Medicago truncatula: one gene and its partner. The protein of the gene in region 1 binds, or shares a complex with, the protein of each later gene. Links are inferred from orthologs where the notes say so. Each region holds a gene or a part of one and is shown on either strand. Other genes may lie near its edges.

What was found.
Region 2: histone deacetylase 6 (region 1) and protein ASYMMETRIC LEAVES 2 share a complex: the UniProt entries of both Arabidopsis thaliana proteins name them as parts of the AS1 repressor complex. The link is inferred for Medicago truncatula from reciprocal best matches to the Arabidopsis thaliana genes HDA6 and AS2.

What each region holds. Positions count from the first base shown.
Region 1 is NC_053044.1:38,122,783-38,130,171, reverse strand, and holds the start of histone deacetylase 6, read right to left. Parts: upstream 3,024-7,389; 5' UTR 2,948-3,023; coding exon 2,381-2,947; intron 1,332-2,380; coding exon 891-1,331; intron 786-890; coding exon 643-785; intron 1-642. UniProt on the Arabidopsis thaliana protein: Responsible for the deacetylation of lysine residues on the N-terminal part of the core histones (H2A, H2B, H3 and H4). Might remove acetyl residues only from specific targets, such as rDNA repeats or complex transgenes.
Region 2 is NC_053049.1:15,631,715-15,638,539, reverse strand, and holds protein ASYMMETRIC LEAVES 2, read right to left. Parts: upstream 2,116-6,825; 5' UTR 2,009-2,115; coding exon 1,322-2,008; 3' UTR 1,301-1,321; intron 870-1,300; 3' UTR 529-869; downstream 1-528. UniProt on the Arabidopsis thaliana protein: Negative regulator of cell proliferation in the adaxial side of leaves. Regulates the formation of a symmetric lamina and the establishment of venation.

The sequences.
Region 1 (7,389 bases):
AGGTGGAGCTTGTTAGGGACAAAAGGTGCCATGGCAGGCCCAAAAAATAAATTTTACTGAATTATATACCATTTTCCATTTGCACATGTTTTCGCAGTGCCGGTGGTTAAATACCAACCAGGGCACGGTATCGATCCTGGGTGAGTAATTTTTGCAATTTTACACACCCTATCAGGGAAAATACACTTCTCTACATGATATAGTATCTCTTCCGATAATCCAACTCATGGGCCTTGTTACCAAAAACATATTTGCCAGCATGCTACAACAAAATTTAATATAATTAAGAAATTTAATGTGTATAATTTCAAATTGAGTTAGCTATTTAGGCTCCCTCAAAGAAGTGGATCGAGCTCCATCACTGCCTTTGGATATTTTAAAACCTAGAGCAATACAATTCCAATTTCCAACAATGAAAGGGCCACATTCAAGGTGTGAACTACAGCTTGTTCATGGAAAGAAACTATTTATAGTATTCTGGAAAGTCAAACATCAGAATGTAACTTAGCGGAATAAAAATATAGACCATGAGTAATCAAATTCATAATTATTTACGGCAAGTAGTCAATTTCATAATTATGATTAAAAAACAGAATTATCGATCAATTCTAATACAATCAAAAGGAAATTAATATAAATCACCTGATTTTTTCCATATCCTTGGGTGTGTTTAGGTTCTCCATGTTGTTTGGTTCGACATGAAGTGTATAGTCTGGGCCAAAATATTCATAATACTCATTATATGGCAACTTGTTACTAGGCTCCACTCCTACTGCTACGGCTGTCTAAAACAGAGAAAAGGACAAGCAGTAATTAGTAAATAACATAATAGGCGACCATGACTAAAATACATTACATATAATCCTGCACAAGTTGAGAAAGAAAGGAACCTCATAACACCAACAGCGAGCAACATTCCGTACAGTGTATCCTCCCCCACCCAAGACCATTAGAGGAACATTAAAAGACCTAAGGAAACGAAGGCAGTCTGCATGACCCTTCACAGATAAGTTGAAGCAACCCAACCTGTCACCGGACAAAGAATCAGCTCCACATTGAAGAACAACTGCATCAGGTTGATAAACATCCATGACTTTTTGCATAATGGGACGAAACAGAGCACGGAAATTCTCATCATCCATTCCATCATTCAATGGAACATTTAGAGCATAGTCCTTCCCAGGGCCCACACCAGTGTCTTTAATATGCCCAGTTCCAGGGAAGAAATCACCAAACTTATGAAAAGACACAGTCATCACTCGATCAGTAGTGTAAAATGCCTCCTCAACGCCATCTCCGTGGTGGACATCAATATCAACATACAGAACACGCTGGCCAATAACATAGTGAACAACAAGGTCAGAAAAAGAGAGAGAAAAAAAAAATGTGATAAAGACAACAAAACAACGAAAACTGACATTAACATTACTAGCATGTATCAATTCCATTTTGTTTTTATGTTTGACAAAAGGAATGAAATATAGGTCCATCAGAAATGTGGCGGGTCACTTCACTGCCACTTTAAATACACCTACTTATATATTTATATATCAAACTAGTATAGATCCAGTGCTCTTGATCGAATCCAAGAAAATGACGAAATACAGAGGTGTTAAATTCCTTTGAGTGTTAATAGGGGACAATTTTTCTTATAAAAATACAACGTGAATTCCTTTGAATGTTAATGGGGGAAAATTTTTAGTATAAAATTACAACGTGAATTGCCGCTTATAGCACGGACACTTATCATGATAACCGCTTATATATAAGCTATTTCTATAGAAAAAGATAAAATTAAAGTTAAATTGTTTTCGTATAAGCTGTTTTCAAAAGCTACCTTGGAGAATTTATGAAAATAGCTTATGAATGTTATAAGCTGTTTTCATAAGTTCTCCCAAACAATCTCACAAAATGTGTATCAATAATTAACCTCAAATAAGTCAATCCAAACAAACCCTAGGTATATGAAACAGGCCTTAGGTATGAGTCACCACTTTTATATATCCAACATTTTGGCCATTCATAATCGACGCGGACTAACTACTCACAATTTTATAGTCATGCCGCGTCCAAGATTGTCATAAACTATCTTGGAGAACAAATGAAAATAATCTGAAAACTAACAACGTCTTAAGCTATTTTCATAACTTCTCTCACACAGACTCACAACTCTTGCATATCCAATATTTTGACATATCAATGTGGGACTAATCACTCCCAATTTTATAGTCACACACGACTCAAGTCCTGTCTAAATGCAAATCTAGGGCACAAACACAAACCATGAATGTGTAAAAAAACACTTATGAGCATAATATTCATAGTTACTTAACAGAATTACAAAAAATAACATTTAACAAGGTATAAACAAAAAAAATACCCTATGAACTTTGAGAAGCTCAAGAATCCCAAGAACAATGTCATTAACATAACAAAACCCAGAAGCTTCAGCTTTCTTAGCATGATGCAACCCACCAGCCCAATTAATAGCAATATCAGCGTCACCACGATTAAGCCTAACAGCAGCACCAATAGATCCACCAGCAGAAGCCTGGCAGAACGGAAAAAGCCCGTCGAAAACAGGACAATCCTCACCTACGTTAAACCTCTTCAACTGCCGATAATGAGAGTGTGAATTATCCGAAACAATCTCCGGCGAAACGGAAGAGAGGAACTCGACGTAATCATCAGAGTGAAACCGGCGGATATCTTCCGGCGCAGCGGCGAAAGGACGGTTAATTTGCATACGACGGTGGAGAGAGTAGTGGATGATGAGATTGTGTGCCATGCGGATACGATGGGGTTTCATTGGGTGACCTTGACCGTAGTAATAATCACCGATGCTTGGTTCGTAGAAGTAGGTTACGCGACGCTTCATTGCGTCGGCGCCGATTGAAGGAAGTGATGCGCCACCGCTCTCAGCTACACCCATTTCGCCGCTGCCCATTGGAAATTCTTCTTCAGAAACCCTTCTTCTCCCTCTCGGTTTTTAATAACTCTGTGCCTTGACACTTCGCATATACGCACACTAGTGTTGGGAATAGGCCAGGCCGGCCTACAGGACCTATTGTCTGGCCAGTTTAAGTCTGTCTGTTTATTAAAAAGGTTAGGCTTAGACTTTTTAAAAAGTCTATTTAAGTAAATAGGTCAGGCTTAAGCTATCAAAAAAGTCTATGAAGCCTAATAGGTCAGCCTGTTTATGCATATTAGGCTTCATAGTGACTTTTTAAATAGGCTTTAAAACTTTATAGTGAAATAAGTTTTTAAGGCCTTATAGTGATAGACAAGTCTTACACTGAAATAGGCTTTGAGGCCTATTAAGCCTATTTAAAAGTAGATAAAATGGAATGTTTGATGACTTTAATAGTAAGTAGGCCTGTAAATAGGCTTTCAGGCCAGGCCAGACCAAAAAAATAGGCCTATGAAAGGCCATAGGCCAGGCTCAGGCCTGCAAATTTTTTCGTAGGCCAGGCTCAGGCCTATCAAAGCCTGACCTGGCCTGGCCTGGCCTAGCCTATTCCCAACCCTAACGCACACAGCTAAAGGTTTAAATTTATATATAAAATTAGACTATAATCTAAAAGGTATACGTCACACAATGTAGATAATTGAGAAGATATTTTCGATGTAAAATTATAATCTAAAACGTCTACGTAGATGTTAAAGAAGATATTTATCTACGTTGTGTGACATAGACGTTTTAGACTATAATTTTACATCGAAAATATCTTCTCAAATATCTATTTTATGTGACGTAGACGTTTTAGATTATAGCATCATCTTATATATAAATTTAAACTTTTAGCTGTGTGCATATAAGCGAAGAAAAGGTTATTAAGAACCGAGAGGGAGAAGAAAGGTTTCTGATCTACGTTTGATGTAAAATGTTTAGGCTAGAGGAAATTGATTAGGATGTTCGCAGTGTGGTTTGGTTCAGTTTTAAGACTAATAGTCATTTGAAAAACGCAAGATAAAAAAAGTATGTGGGTTGGTTTAGTTGACTTTCAAAATTAAAACCAAACCAATGTGATTTTGGTTGATTCGGTTTTTTACAAGACAAAACAATCTTTTTGTTTCCAACATTAAGTTAAAAACGACTTATCCTCAACAATGTTTCAAATTTGATCCAACACTACACTTTCATCCGACAATGTTCCATCAACGTGGACTAGATTAAAAACATGGACCAAAAAGTAACCTATTCGATAAGAAATGCAAAAGACTAATATTTTATCATTCTCTAAAAGTTTTTATTGAGTTTCTATGATTTAAAATATATCTAACATTAACTTATAAGCAAAAATGCAAGTAGAATTCAAAATATGATTAGGGTCGTAAAGTTCATTTGATGAACTGGGATATGGATTGCCAACCTAAGAATTATGGCGCAAAGTTCTTATCGGCAAGTATGATAGAAATAATGATCTTATGGTTTCTTGCAACTTTCAGCCTTTGGATTCCCCCTTGTTGAAAGCTTTAGTAGGAGTTCAAAACGATTTCCAACACAATGTTTTTAGACAACTAGGGGATGGAAGACATACAAATTTTTGACTGGATAAGTGGCTTCCTAACAGGAGCGAGCTCCCATTAGTTTTCCATAATTTCATTGATATTGCCCTTAATGTGCAAGATGTTTTGAATCAAGAGGGAGATTGGAACCTAAGTTTTTTGCATGATAAGTTACCAACCATAGAGGCATCCATACCAAAGCAAACTTGTTCAAGCATAACATCACCCTTGACCCAGTTTGCCCTCGTTGCAACCAGGCTACTGAAAGCTTAGACCATCTTTTTATGAAGTGCGATTGGGTTAAACGGGTGTGGTTCTACTCTGATCTAACTATCAATTTTGAAAACACAGATACCAATACTTTTCTAAATTGGCTAGATTACATGCTTCACAACACATAAATTGAACTCATAACACATATAACAGCGATTATCTATCACATATGGGAAGCCATAAATCTTTTAATCTTCAAAGGAATGGACATACCTGCTATGGAAGTTTGTCGCAAAGCTCAAACCGCAATCTCGAACTACAACCTCGTGAATAGGCTTCATCAACATTCAAAGACCATCAATCCTCTGGGATGAACTGCCGTAACACTGGTTGGACTCCTCCGGCGAAGGGTGACCTAAAGCTCAATGTGGATGCTCACTATTTGGGTGATGGCCATTGGGGTTTAGGTCTTATCCTCTGTCGCAAGGACGGGGACTCCGTTGTGGTAGAGACTAGGGAGATCATGTCTACGGAAGATGCAACTGATGCAGAGGCTCATGGAGTTTTTGAAGCCGTTAAGCTTATAAAAAGGATGAATCTAAGTAGGGTTGTGATTGAATAGGACAACCAGATGGTTGTCTCAAATTTAAACACCGGAAATTTCTGCAGGAAATATTGGGGGGAAATGATGAAAGAAAGTCATGCAGAGTTAAAGAAGATGAACATGATCAGTGTTAGATGGATAAGGAGATCTAGTAATCAGACAGCGCAACATATAGCTAGATGGGTCGGGTCTGAACCCAATAAAGATTGGACCCAATACTTTCCTATTTGTATAATAACACATATCCAAAAAGATATGAGTTTTATTGTTTCTCAATAATATTGTTGATTTTTAGTGTAAAAAAAATATTGTGAATCAAGTGGTTCCTTTACCAACCCCAATAGATGCAGATGACTCTGATGTTACGGGATTGGAAGCCACTGATACTCATTGGTTTACCATTTAAAGTGCTTATAGGTTCAACGTGGAGATGTTCATGTATTGGAAGGAGAATGGAAATCTATGTAGGACTGGAAAGGATCTCATCATATCCAAACTTTCATCTGGCTCTCACGTCCCAAGAGTGCATCTTTACCATCTTTATAGAAGCAAGTGGGGGATGGGCATATCTCCACTTTGTACTAGATGTGGAAGAGGAAGATGAAACTAACATTCATGTGCACCAAAATTGTGTCTATGCAACTCAAATATGGCTCTTTCTTGATCCATTTAATTTTATAATTGATTTATTTACTTTTTATTGCAGGGACCAAATTTTTAATAAGAGCTAGAAGACCATTTTCATGATAACTTGATAGTTCTTATGGACGTGGAGAAACAATGTTGTCTTTGAAAACAATTTTCACCAGTCAAACAACCTTGTCATGGTGATTCAAAACTTTATAGGAGAGATAGATATTTGCTCAACCCATCCACCTTATTGCAATCTTCAAATAAAAGAGACAATTCATATAATATGGGATAAATCCCTTGAAGGTCGGATAAAACTCAACAGTGGCGATGCTTGCAAAGGAGGTGGAGAGAATTCACGTTGTCGTGGCCTTTTTTGCCACTCTAATGGAATATGGTTAAAAGGTTACATTAGGAAGATTAGAGTGTGTGACACACTTCATGCTGAATTATAGGCCATGTATCTTGGTTTGGCTATGGCCTAGCGAGAACGTATTCTTCAATTTATTACGGAAAGTGACTCTAAAACTCTTATTAACATGGTTACCGGTAATTGTAAGTTTAGTAGAGTCATTCCAACGTTAGTGCGGTGTATTTGCAACATATTGGCTTTTGATTGGCGTGTCCATTTTAGTCACACTTGGAGGGAGGAAAACCATTATGCTGATTGGCTGACGACCTTTAGCTTTTGTTAATTTAGACTCTTTTGTTGTTACTAGATTGGAGTATACACCTAGCGATCTTCAAAGGTTTCTTTTTTATGATATTTTTGGGGCTTGTTCGCCTAGGCATGTCCAGCTAGTTGTTTGGTTTTCTCTTGGGCATTTGACCATCATTTGTATCAAATAAAAAGAATTAAATTAAAGTACATAAATACATTGTTGAAATAAAATAAAATAAAAAAACGTAGTAGAAATTTAACAAGAGAAAAAACATGTCTTAGTCAAAAAAAATAATTGAAAAAACATTTTATTTATAAAAATTTCAATTGAATTTCACTGAGTACTAGACTGTGTGACAAAAGTTTAATTAGTGTTTCTCTTGTGTTGTGATTTGTTTTGGTTTGAGTCGATTGGTAAAATAAAACCGCAAACTGAACTGTGCGGTGTTGAGTAAAAAAAATGGTCTGAATACATCCAAATTAAATACGGTTTTTAGTTTGGATTGGTTCGGTTTAAGGTTTTTTATTGGGTTGGTTCGATTTAAGGTTTTTTATTGGGTTGACTCAGTTTTGAACACCCCTAAAATTGATTTAAGAATCAATTTTGACTTGAGGAATTTTAAGTCAAGGATGTGTTGATACCTTCTAGATTGCACGAGGTTTTGATGAGTACACAAACATTGACTGACATTGATGTTAGTGTGTTGTGTGATTATGTCTCCCGCCAACATGAAAGTTGCACTATAAGTTTTTAGCTTGACTTTTCAACATG
Region 2 (6,825 bases), on another chromosome or scaffold:
GCATAGGTTTGTTGAGTATAACTCATTGGTATGGTTGAGAAATAATGTTTTATAGTGTAAAACAAAAGAAACAATATAAGTTAGAATAAAACACTCATACAAGGTAAAGGATGCCGCCATCAGTCATGATAGCGCGGAAAGTAAAGGTTGTGAGACACGCCTTTAACCACGGGAAAGAAGTTGTTATTTTAACATGATCAATATGGCTATAAATTTATACTCGTCACTAAATTAGCGTCTCTAACACATAGGGATGAAATCAAACAAAATTCACATTTTTTTCGTCAACTTATATCTAGTATAAATTAAAGTTTATCTTCTGTACAACGATAATAGAAATATTTGTTATACACGACAAATATCCAAACAGATGTGTGTGTATATATATATAAATTTTTAAATTGCAATACAAATATCTAAATGATGGAAAGTAATTTAGGGCATGTAAATCTATATTAACTCTCCGAGAGCATAAAAATTAAATTCTAAAAGTGACAGTTCTCATGTAGTGCTTATTAACACCATATGTTTGACCAAAAATGTACCATCGTAATTGATTAAAAGAAGATAATATACTGTTTGCTAATAGTGATAATCTTTCCATGGAGGAAGAGGAACCCTTCACTTATTTCTTCTCTCTGTAGAGATAGTAAAATCACAATAGTAAAATATTGGTCAGCTACTTCATAACTTCATTTAGACGTCATATATATATTTTTTCTGTCTACAATTTTGTAATCATATAAAACAAAAAATAAAAATAAAAACCGATTCGAGCTTTGACTGATGAACAAATTTGTCTTTGAGTGTCCATCAAAAATGAAGAATGAAGGTTGAAATCTTCTCTCCAGCTAGTAATGTCAAAACTCCTTGAAAAAGAGAAAGAAATATATATTATAAATAAAATTCTTGATTATATATACATATACACACAACACAAATATATATAGTTGAATTAAAATATTTTAAATATTCATAGTTTCATTCATATACTAAACTCATTCACTATAATTTAAAGGATTTAACTATCTATTTTCTTCTTCAAAAAAAATAAACTGTCTATTTTATAGTTTTAGGCATAACAAATTATAATAGAATATTTTCTAAATTAATTAGTTTAGGTGCAGTATAGTATTACATGAGGAATGGCATACAATTAAAGCATTGAAGAGTCTCTTCCAATGTTATGATTGCATATTTCATATGCAGTTATGTGATTCAGTGATGATAGGTGACAGAACAAAATTAAATAAAAAGAGCATTAATTTATAAAGTAAAAATAAAAAGCATTAATTATTACCTATAGCATTAGAAACCCTAGCTAGGAGCGGTTAACAGTACGGCGGTCGTCACCACCACCACCAGCAGCACTATGATGTTGAAGTTGATTGATCTGTCCTAAGCTAGCAGATATATTCATAGCCAAGAGACTAGCATCATAGTTGCTCCCAATTCCACCATCAAAATTTCTAACCAAATTATGTTGTTGATGTTGATCCCTTGGAAAAAACTGATGATGTTGATGATAACGATGGTCACGGCCGTTACTGTTATTACCACCACCAGCAGTATTTTGCGTGTGGTGGTAATTACCTGCAGCGGCCGTGACAGACTCACCTGTCATGCCGGTTATGAGTCCATGACCGGCAGTAGCTGCCGCTGCGATACTCAAGTTTTGAAAACGAGAAAGTTCGGATTTAGCACAATAAAGATCCATCTGAAGCTGACGAAGTTGGTGTTGAAGGAGAGAAATTACACCAACACAACCATAAACAGGATCTCGAAGTCGCATCTCAGCTTCATAAGCAAGTGAATTCACAGCATCTTCACGTTGGTGAGGGTGTAAATCATTGAGAAGCTTTGTAACATTGCTTGCTCCAAAAATTCTATGAACATTTGCAAATTTTTGTGGCTGATCAGGTGGAAAATAAGGTGCAAATGCACATTCTGGTTGGCATTTTCGGCGTAGAAACTTGCATGCTGCACATGGTGAATTTGAGGATGCCATGGTAGTTTGTTTTTGTCACACAAACAAACACTTGTTTTTCTCCTTCTCTTGTTCCTCTTTTTTCTGTCTCTCTCTCTTTCACACTACCATTAATTTCTGTGATGCATTCACCATGTTTTTGTTTGTTATTACTATGTTGTAAAATAATAAAATAATGGTAATAAAAAATTATAAAAGGAAATAAGAACTGATCCATTAATGCGTGTTATATGGCTAATTCCATTATTTTACGGTCTTTTTGGTAAATCTATTGTTTTAAATCACACACACTCTTTTCCTTTCTTTAAATTATTATTATTTTCTTTTGCAATTTATGACTAAAAAAACTATGTCGAAATTTGCTTACCCTTCACCACCACACTTTGTGCAGGTGTTTTTTTTAATATATATTTAGCTAGCTTATATCATCGACACTAAAATATAAACACCCTTCTTTAAAAGTTCTTGAGAAAATAAAAAATCTCTACTAAGGGGAAGAATAACCACAAAAGAAGTAAAAAAGACAAAAATAACTAGCAAGAATGTGGTTGTCACTTCATTATTAAATCCATATCTCAACAAAATATTTATTATTCAGCATGTAATTTTTTATAGAAGAAAATTGCAAATCCTCCCATACAATTTTTTCAGACAAAATTGTAAACTTACTCTCTCTCAACTCACACACAATTGCAATTTATACAAGGACTAAATTCCAAACCTGTCAATTACAATTTTTGTATTGAAAAATTGTAAACCATCTCATCATGACACACAAGTTTCCAATACATCAAGAGACAAGAGACGTTGTGGCGAAGAAAACTCAAAATTAGATCTCTATTTATACTAACTCTCAGTTTATTTGCCTACTACTCGTCGTTGAACTTGAATGAATATCCACTTTAACCTAACACTTTTGTCTTTGATAGGAACACAAAAAAAAAAAAAAGAGCTAGAGGAAATTTAGGGTATCTTTAAAAAGCATTTTTTTTGTTCTTCATAAGAATCGAACTCACTTTCTCACGAACGATTCATCCTTGCTGAAGTTCATTTACTATATCTCAATTGTTTGGTTATGTTAATTTTTAGTATGTTAACCGAGCATGTAATTTTTTCGCCGTGTAACAGTACGGAGAATCATATAATATATGATTTGAAACCTATAGACTTCCTTCGGATTACTAGAAAAATTAGAAAAATTTAAAATAACGACAAAAGTTCAAGAGACGAAAAAGGATAAATTGTGTCTTTAAATTTAGTGACTAATTTAATTTTTTGGTTTCTAATTTTTTTCGTTATTTCAAATCTTTGGTAGTGTATATATAATTCTCAGACTCCTTATCTCATTAAAATAACAATACAAATAAATAAAAATGATGATCATTGATTCATTTGGGAGATCCAAGAGAGAAAAAAGAGCTAGCAATGGGATTGAAGAAAGTATGGAAGTTGACAAAAACAATGAATAAATATGCATATATAACTAATTTTCAAAGATTCAGTTACAACTGGAATTTCATATCCTCGGACAAAATCCTTGGTCCTTGTGTTTCTGGCTGAGAATTTGAAGACAAAAAACAATGGTGAAAGTCATGTATATGAGAAAGCCAGCGTTGTCTAAGGAAAATAATGAAGTTGATTAATGTTTGATGCCAGAAGACACTTCCTCGTGTGAGAGGCAAAAGTTATGGTGCATAAGGATTTTCCTTATGCACCGTGCATAAACACTTCACAACCATCAAATCTAGTGTACACGTTTAATAATCCAAGGCTTCTCAAACTACACCAAATCAAACTTCATTTGCTTCAAATATTTCTCTCACTAAAATATAAAACTCTCCCTCTCTCTCTACAATTTTCAACATTCTGGAAAAGAAAACGAAGAACTCAGATGAGTCTTCATCTCTTCCGGCCACATATGATGATTCTAACGCGCGGTGGTTGCTGGCCAGAGGCGGCGGCGGCGCCGTGCCGGAGAACCAAACTCACCCTTTTTAAAAACTAAAGCCATTTTCCAACATCCATTTTCGTTTTAAAGCCAAATCCGAACTCGGATCGTGCAAAAATACAACGAGAAGGAGTAGATCTAAAGATTAAAACACAAACAAAATTTTCATTGCTTCACTTGTTGTTGAGCCGGTTCGCTCCTCTTCCTCCCTCGTGTTTTCTTCTTCGATCCAGTGGCGTTGTGTTGATTGCTATATGTTACTGTTTCGTAACTGTTTGTGTTCACGGTTTCATATCTGAAGTTGTTACTATATTCGAAATCTTTGTGATGTTGGAGGGGTTTATAGCTGAGAAACTACTGGAAACCACTAAGTACATCTAAAGGTTTTGGAGAACAACTCACAGAAACCATTTCTTTCCTCCTCCTCCAATTGTGTCAGTCCAAAACTGAATGATGGCAATGACTCTAGGTCCTTAGTTTTTTTAACCTGCTGGAAACCATTAAATACATCTAACGGTTTTGGATTACAACTCACATAAACCATTTTCACAGCAAAATGGTTTTAGCATAATTTTATACAAAACATAATATAATAAGAACATTTGTGACTATTATTGAACCAAATCAACATTCTGAAATCATCATTATTGAACTAAAATGATGATTTCCGCGGTTGTAGTGTTGTTTCGTTTGGTTTCGCTTGGGGGTGTATGAAACAATTATGTTGGGCTATCGGTTAATGAGTTGGGATTTATGCACGGTGCATAAGGATTTCCTTATGCCCCATAACCGCTCCCCGTGTGAAAATGTAAGCCGACTTGATATTGTGTACGTTACAAGTGTGTGCATATAATACTTCTTTTTTTGCAATTGTGAGGTTTCGAATTTTGTGCATATAATATAATAAATAATTTAGAGTACAAATATAAATTTTACAGGATATTATTTCATTTTGTTAAATATGGCTACGTGTTTTTCTTTGAGTGCAAATAACATCTCCAATCGTCCCTACGTAAGAAATAAGGCAAATTCTACGAAATCCATTTGGGGTTGGTCTAGTGGTTGGTTTGGGATCTTGGATTTTGCTCCTCCAGAGGTCTCAGGTTCGATTCCCTCTGGTGCCAATTTCGGTGGGCTAAGTCCATACAGAGCTTGCTCTGGCTTTAAACGGGGCCCCCGCAAGTGGGCGGTGTAATTGGTCCCCTCGAATTAGTCGATTCTTGGATCGGATGCCGAGTTTAAAAAAAAAAAAAAAGCAAATTTTACGGCACACTCAAAAATTCGAGTGTACCGGTACACCATATCATCAAATTAATATTGAAACGAGTTATTGTTATAGTTAAATGAAAAAATTCGATAAAAACATAATAGAATATAAAACTCGATAAAAACATGATATGATATAGATATGATAAACATTTATCATATCATGTGTTTAATACATGCATGATAAAAAATAGAATATGATAGTTAAATGACAAAATTAGCCAAGTAATCGATTACATATTTTAAATAGTTTAAATGACAAGCCCATGTTACACAAAGAAAAAATTACCCATGTAATCAATTGCATATTTTAAATACTAATCAGTGTGTCACGTGTCACCTTTATTTTAAGAGTTATGATACATAGATACTCTTAGATGGCAATACATCCCTGGACATCCACATAAAAATCTGACATGTGGTCACGTGGACCCTGCACAAGCACATTTTCTCTTTCCTCTCCTCTTCTCTCTTCCTAGAATATAGGATGTACAAAAGTGTATGGAAATAAAGGGTGTCTATGTAACATTTTCCTTATTTTAAAAAATAAAATAAAAAACAAAAAATTCATATATAAGATAAAGAAGAAAACCACTTGTCACATTGTGGTTATCCAATGTTACGTGACATTGACACCACAATGTCATTGATAACTGGAAAATAAGTTGGTTATCACATTGCACTTAGCCCCCATATTGGACAAGTATTTGAGTGATTGCATTGACTTAAGTAATAGTTTAATCAGTGTCTATTTTAGGATTTTATAGTTTTAAGTATTTTTAGTACTTTGGAGAGGCCAGGTTATGGTTAGGGTTAACACTTTAGAGATCACATTCCATCTCATCTTCTACCATAGATGAGCATGGTGGCTAGATTCTAAAGTTCTTAGAGTAGATTACTTGGTGACGTTTTGACTCACCTTATTCCTTCAAAGAGTGTAATCTTGTGACAACTCTATCTATTCTATTAATTTAGTTTTCTATGCTTTCATTTATCTTCATCTTCATTTCCATTTCCATAGTTCATCTCACCATGAGCTAAACCCCTTTGAGTGATTTAGACATGGTGAAGTTATGATTTATTAATTTACTTGCGATATATAAAGTTGTAGCGTCATGCGATTTATTAATTTACTTGCGATATATAAGTGATTCCTGACAACTTTTACTTCTAATGATATAACTTGCTTTCTTAAAAAAAAAATGATATAACTCGCTTACCTTAACAAAGTAAGGAGTGGAAAATGTTTATTCGATATTATTTTGCCCTTGAGCACCATTGAGTGAAAGGGAGTGGAATCTTGAATGTAAAACTGACACTATAGGAAGTTATATCTCTGTGAATCTCAGTTGGCTTAAGAGGTTAACAAATAGCCATAGTGTTGAGAATCACCATATGCATACCACGCTATAGCTTAGTATTACATTCACTATTTGTCATATGACAAAGGATTTGTATATCCGCACCTCATGGTGAAATGGCAGGATCCTAAACCAAACCAACTGCACGTGTTAATTATTGTGTCTGCGCAGCGATTGGAGACAGTTCCTTTATCTGGTGATAGGGTAAAAGGGTGATGGTCCGCCCTTAAATAAGGTGACTTCTTGTAGCTTAACACAATGGT